Schizosaccharomyces pombe: one gene and its partner. The gene in region 1 interacts genetically with each later gene. Each region holds a gene or a part of one and is shown in the gene's direction. Other genes may lie near its edges.

Region 1 (3,264 bases):
CTTTTCCTTCGATGGGACTGGGAATGGAGCTAGCTCAACCTGATGTAATGGAGCGTCTCCCTCACGACAACAAAGTTGGTATTTTCCAAAAGAGTCTAATTGTTGACATGATGGTGTATGGATTTTTCCTTGGAGTCGTTAGTCTTATGACTTGGGTTGTCATAATGTATGGATTCGGTACAGGCAATTTATCATATGATTGCAATGCCCACTATCATGCTGGATGCAACGATGTTTTCAAAGCACGGTCTGCTGTTTTTGCAGTTGTGACCTTTTGCATCCTTATTATGGCAGTCGAGGTGAAAAACTTTGACAACTCCCTATTCAACCTTCATGGGATTCCTTGGGGTGAATGGAACTTCCGTTATTTTCTCCATACGTTGGTTGAAAACAAATTCCTCGCTTGGGCCATTGCCCTTGCAGCTGTTTCGGTGTTTCCTACCATCTACATTCCTGTTATTAATAGAGACGTTTTCAAGCATACGTATATTGGATGGGAATGGGGAGTTGTTGCCGTTGCAGTGATGTTTTACTTTTTTTATGTCGAAATTTGGAAAAGCATTCGAAGAAGCTTGACCAATCCACAGAAAAAAGGAAAGTTTAGAAGAACGCTCAGTAATACGATTACCACTGAATCCAAATTGTCCGAAAAGGATTTAGAGCATCGTTTGTTTTTGCAGTCTCGAAGAGCCTAATGTTTTCTTGCCATGAATATGTATATGAATATGCGTGAGTGTATCGTTTTCACAGAACCGACAAATCGTAAAGGATTTATAATTTTTTTTTGATGATCGTGATTATACCGATCAATGACTTTAATTGGGAATTTGGGAAAATGTTGGTTGATTATAGTGTTTATTGTTTGTTTATGAAAAAGGCATATTAAAAAATAGTTTCACGAAAGGCAAAATCAAATGATCATATTGTTTACAATTATTGCATGCTCATATAAATCCTTTTTTTTCTTCTTCTTCTTCTTTTTTAATCGTTTAAAGACGTTTACTAATGAAAGACTTCTTTGCTGTGAATGGTAAATGGCAAGATCCTCTTTCATCTTCTGCTCTACTAATTAATTTTCTTCTCATTTTTATAATTACTTCCTTTTTATTTTGAGGAAAAGTTCCTTTAATCGCTTTTCTTGTTGATTTCCTTGTTTCATACTTTCTTTCATTTTTTCTATAATTTCTAGTCCGTTTTTTGTTAAGCTTCTTAAAGCAATAAAAAGACCAAAAAGAATAAATACAAGTCACTTTAGACTAATATCTTTAAATAATGTTGGCCGATCATTTCACGTCGCAACTAGCTATATATTTATTCACTTTAATCAATATGGCTTAACATAGCAAATTTAGAAGTAAAAAAATATCCCTTTTAATTTTTTTATTCTACAGGTAGTATATACAAATAATTAATGAGTTAGCTGTAAACACATTTCCTCGTTATCGCGATATAAAAATTTTCGATTAATCGGTTTAATTCATTAAGTCAATAGAGAATCTGTTGAAGAGAAAAGCGGATTCTACAAATGCCTCTTTATTCCAGCATTTTAAGAAAATAAAGAAGAAGATCTTGGTCGCAACGATGCCCATAAATTTGCGACATTCCTACTAGCCTTTTTTATTTACATTAACAAAACTGAACACAACCCCAAATGACAAACTCGGCCCTGAAATGCAAAGAAATAATTAAAAAAATAAAAAAAGAATAAAAGGAAACGACACCGATTATCTCATACATGTTCTCATGTTTGTGATTCCAAAATCTCAAAATCCAGTACTGGATGTAACGTACCACGCTACAGACTTCGTTCTGAGACATTGGCATCCTTGTTTTCTACCACTAATATATTTCAGTAGACGAGAAATACATACCTTGTAAACGGATACTATTAATAATACCAGACTATTTGATTTCCCTCTTTTAATCTTTACTTAAGCGAGTTTGTAGCTACTACTATTGTGTTTGGTGTTCTCTACTTTTCTAACTGAATTTTTTTTTCTACATAGCCGTTTGCTTCAATTCAGCTACTTGATAGTTGTTCATTTTGCTTTTAATTCACTTTTATAGCCTTTCGTAAACGATGTCTACTTTGTCTTATGTATCGCCTGATGCTTTAAAAGGCTGGTTAATGGAATCGCCTAACGAGATTAGCATAATCGATGTTCGTGACTACGATTACGAAGGAGAACGTATTCCTGGCAGTGTGCGTATTCCTTCCGACACTTTTCTCGCTAGTGTTGATCAGCATGTTGACGATCTCATGAAGAAGAGATCACTCATCGTCCATTGCACTTATTCTCAAGTTCGCGGTCCTAAAGCTGCCAGAGTACTTTCAGAAATTTTGAGAAACCGTATAACAGAAAGTAAGGAAAAGCTCTCTTTAAGCCAAAAAGAAAAGCTCTTTCAAAACCTTCCTACTGTTTACATCCTTCATGGTGGGTTTTCCGCATGGAAACGGCGGTATGGTGGTCAACAAGGTCTTATCGAGTATGATTAATTGATTGTGCTTGAAAAGTCCTTTGACTTCTTCCTTGTCACTCATATAAATCCTGCTTTAAACTTTTTTATTTGGTACGTTTTATCCCACTCCGGGTTCATACTTTGTGTTTTCGCAACACCATTCGTTTGATATAATCCTTACAATCTGTATGGATATAAACTACATCTCATAATCTCCAAGAACCTTAGTAGTAGTTTGCATGCCTACAATTATACAAACACATTTTCTTTAAAATAATCCTTCGTTTATCAGTGTTTTATACTTTTAATATTTACCTACTTCGTTAATAAGGTCATGTATAGACATTCTCATAATCGGTTTACCAATATATATTTATAAAGAATAAGTAAGGGAAGAAAAAAAGAGAGAACGATGCGATACTTCATCGAGTATCAGCTATCTTAATATTATCTAAATTTAATTAACTTTCTCATGAATAGTGTAGGTAATATTTTTGCAAAGAATCGCGCTTGCATGTTCCAGAGCAGTAATAAAAAGTATCAAAAAGTTGCTGATGCAAAAATGACTAATACTCACACCAATGTCCTTCCACGAGCCTTCGTCCTTTACTAAATAAAAAAAGTTAATTGTAACTATATCAGCCATTCCAACTGCCAAAAAGAAAGTAACTTGCTGAATCCCTCCCAGTCGTTTGTTCATTATTCCAAAAGCTGCCGAAAGTGCGATAAATGGAACCAGAATAGTGTACATTAAGAGTGCACCTTGTGTTACCGGATTGAATACAGGAATAAAACGTTTCACCG
Region 2 (3,933 bases), 470 kb from region 1:
CATATTTCCAACTGTTAATCTATTGCGTCAGGTGCTTCCATTCTTTAATTTCCACATGTATTACTCAATTTAGTTCTAAAACAATACAATACTAGGACTCCTCTGTCATCTTAACAAATTTGCTTGATCAGCCCATATTAGCTATCACAAATGGCTACTCAGTTAAGTTGCGCACACTTACATGCTTTACAAAAACCTCTTCAACATTCTCTACATGAAAAATACTTACGATAAAAAGATGGACGTAAATTTATTAAGAACAAAAGGTAAGCTTAATCTGAACGTTTTCAATGAATTACGGTTCAAATGGTATAAAGGTAAAAAGTTAAGCTAAATAGACAAGAAATATCGTTGACTTCAGCGCTTATATTTCACAAACTTCTTTAATTTAAAAATCTTAACATGCATTTGAACCTTACCAAAGAGATCAAGAATTAAGCCAAAGAGTTTGCACCAGTAACGATATCGATAAGTTCGTTAGTAATGGAGGCTTGACGTTGACGATTATATTGGATGGAAAACTTGTTAATCATATCTCCAGCACTCTTGCTTGCATTTTCCATGGCGTTACGACGAGATGACATTTCACTGCAATGAGCTTCCGCCATGGCAGAAAAAATAGCATTGGCAAATGCAAATTCCATGAGTGGTTGATGGACTTCATCACTTACCTCGTATGCAGAGAGATTGGGGGATTCATTGATGGCCTTAGTTGTATACAAGTTCTTCATCACAGTTTCAAACGAGACAGCGGAAGCAAACTTGTTATAGACGAGAACAATTCTATCATAGTCTTTAGCATGTTCCAAAATGTTACTAGAAATTTGTAAAGCTTCTTCAAAAGAAGGACTAGCTCCACCAATGTGTGCAAAAGTCAAGTAGAAAGATTCGGGACAGAAACGAAGTAATTGAGTGCGAACTTTTTCTCCCAAAATACACAAACTTGTGTTCTCAAATGTCTTAGGATCATGTAGTTCTCTACGGATAAGACGAGAGATTGAAGAATGAATACCACCACAAAGACCCTTGTCACTAGAGCAAGCAACCATAAGAGTTTTACCCTCCTCAGGTGCTTTAGTTCCAGCCTCCTTAAACACTTCATCAGATACACGATAGTATTTGTTAGAAGCTTCCATAGCACGTTGAGCCCTAGTAAGCTTAGTTTGAGCTACAGTTTTGATGGTCTTGGTAATCTTTTCAATGTTCTTAATAGACTTCAGCCTTTGTTCAATCTCTTTTAGCGTTGCCTCACAAGGAGAACTATAAAAAATCGTTAGAAAAAATGCATTCAACTTCGAATATGTTTGTGAATCACAAAAAGTAAACCTAAACAACATACCTAGCGTGAAAACCCCGAAATCCAACTACAGATATACAAGGACGCATCCGAGACGCCTGAGTTAGCGTTTGACGAAGCATAATGTTCAATTGACGTTAGCTTTTATTGATTCCTGTTTCGTAATGATATGGGGGGAGGTTTGGTGTATACCCGTGGTAAAGCATGCTATTGGAACCGACGAATCTATCGTTCTATAGACCGTACTAGCAACGATTTTCAGGAACGATAAGAAGAAAAATTAGTTTAAATAATAAATGAAATGCAATTATATCTCTCACCTTAATTATAATAGCACGTTTTCTATAATGAATATTCCTCCAAAACGCTATACGTTAAACTACCATGGTAAATCAGTTAACGAGGATCGTTGTATTCTTTCAAAGTTTCCCTAAACAGAAGGAATAATTAAATTTTGATGAAAGATGTGAATTTCGTTTTGCAAATAGTAGAGGTAATTAAAATTTAACATATAAAATGTTCGATTAAAAGAGGAGAAGCAGATACTTAACGTACACAAAGATGCAAAGTTAGAAGACAGTGCAGCGAACAACCCTTGTTTATAACAAATAAATCATTACCTTGAATCTCCTTAAACTAGATTTAGCAAAATTAATCGTTGCTTTATTTACGTATATTCATTCACCTTTGCTCTTTCTCCAATAACTATTTGTATGCTTTCAATAAATGATGAAGCGGGATGACTTCTAAAGAGAGCATTTGTTGGTATTTGGCAAATATTTTGCTTGTGACATGCATAGGGTATTATTCGTACAAAACTCCGTTTACAAAGGTAGAAGAGTCGTTTGCTATGCAAGCGATTCATGACATTCAGACGTATCGTTGGGATTTGTCAAAGGTAGTAGTTGATAATTATTTCCTTATTTAAATTACTCACATATTTTAGTATGATCATCTGGAGTTTCCAGGAGCCGTTAAACGGAGTTTCATACCGAGTTTGTTTATAGCAGTTTTGTCCTATATACCTTCTTGGTTTGTTAATCCATTACTTGCCGCTAGATGGACAATTGGGTATTTAAGTTGGGAGAGTATGAATTCTGTAAGCTGCTCCATTAGCAAACGATTCGGCACATTGTCTGGAGCACTGTTTATACTGTTTAGCTGCGCTCAATTTCACCTCGTGTACTATATGTCCAGACCATTGTCAAATATTTTCGGACTAATAGCTACGAACCACTCTCTTTCTTTGTTACTTAAAAATAATTATTACGGCTCTATCAGTATTTTAGTTTTTGCCGCAGCGATTGTTAGGTCCGAAATAGCTTTACTTCTAATGTGTTTGATTCTACCATTATTGCTTCAGAGGAGGATTACTTTATCAAAATTGCTACTCGTTGGTATTTCTTCTTCATTAGCAGCAGTGGGAGCTTCTTTTCTCATTGATTCCTATTTCTGGGGGGCTTGGTGTTGGCCTGAATTAGAAGCTTTCTTATTCAATGTTGTTGAAGGGAAATCTTCAGATTGGGGAACAAGCCCTTTTTACTACTACTTTGTGAGACTTCCTTGGCTATTTCTCAATCCCACGACATTGCTCTTCCTTTTAATCAGCTTTGTTTACATCAAGCCTGCTCGTCTTTTAATATATGTTCCCCTTTTCTTTATATTTGTTTATTCATTTTTAGGCCATAAAGAATGGCGCTTTATTATCTATTCGATCCCTTGGTTTAACGCAGCTAGTGCAATTGGGGCTTCCTTATGCTTTAATGCCAGTAAATTTGGCAAGAAAATATTTGAAATTCTAAGGTTAATGTTTTTTTCGGGGATAATCTTCGGGTTTATTGGAAGCAGTTTTTTGTTATATGTTTTTCAATACGCTTACCCTGGTGGTCTAGCATTAACTCGTTTATATGAAATTGAAAATCATCCCCAAGGTAAGTTCAACTTTTTCACCAATTAGATTATTCTAACGTACTTAGTTTCTGTACACATGGATGTATATCCGTGTATGACAGGTATAACTCGATTTTCACAGCTTCCATCGTGGTACTATGACAAAACTGAGGATCCTAAAATGCTTTCAAATTCTTTATTTATTTCCCAATTCGACTATTTAATCACCGAAGATCCCGAATCATATAATGATACTTTTGATGTTATAGAATCCGTTAATTCCAACACGAAAATTCCCATCCTTCCAAAATGGTTAAGTAATCACATACCGCGAGAAATCTCCATAAGAAATCCAGCACAGCCCGTTTACATCTTGGCAAACAAAAAAGCACGAGCAACTAAACCTGCCGCAGTTGATGACTACTCTTCATTCATCGGACATAAAGTTGACGAGATTAAACTTTGGCCTCCTATTTATAGGGTGGTATCTCCTGACACATTGTTGACAAGAGATTACCGGGAAGACCGTCTGAACTTTTTTATTGACAAAGATCGGATTCTAACGCATATCACCCAGGGATGATAGTTTAGTAAGAAAACGAGAGTAAAATTTTTTCAAGGTATATTCTTCAAGTTTTACGATTTTGTATTTACAGTTACAATTTAGTAGCATCCCCCACTTGAATTGTATTGCAACGATAAGTAGAGTGAATAAACATAATTTTAGTTCGCAGACAATTCAAAGT

The links.
Region 2: mutations in ibp1 (region 1) and alg12 together harm fitness more than expected from each alone (negative genetic interaction), as found in Schizosaccharomyces pombe (one large-scale study listed by BioGRID).

What each region holds. Positions count from the first base shown.
Region 1 is NC_003423.3:610,590-613,853, forward strand, and holds ibp1 (Cdc25 family phosphatase Ibp1 ), read left to right. Parts: upstream 1-1,829; 5' UTR 1,830-2,080; coding exon 2,081-2,497; 3' UTR 2,498-2,730; downstream 2,731-3,264. Other genes in the region: P-type calcium transport ATPase Cta3, read left to right, coding at 1-695; its8 (pig-N family GPI synthesis protein), read right to left, coding at 2,918-3,264. UniProt on the Schizosaccharomyces pombe protein: May play a role in DNA replication checkpoint via regulation of hsk1 or may act downstream of hsk1 in an S phase regulatory pathway.
Region 2 is NC_003423.3:1,083,422-1,087,354, reverse strand, and holds the start of alg12 (dolichyl-P-Man:Man(7)GlcNAc(2)-PP-dolichyl-alpha-1,6-mannosyltransferase), read left to right. Parts: upstream 1-2,000; 5' UTR 2,001-2,036; coding exon 2,037-2,195; exon of another isoform or gene 2,196-2,243; coding exon 2,244-3,228; intron 3,229-3,273; coding exon 3,274-3,770; 3' UTR 3,771-3,933. Other genes in the region: F1-ATPase gamma subunit atp3, read right to left, coding at 435-1,260, 1,340-1,419. UniProt on the Schizosaccharomyces pombe protein: Mannosyltransferase that operates in the biosynthetic pathway of dolichol-linked oligosaccharides, the glycan precursors employed in protein asparagine (N)-glycosylation.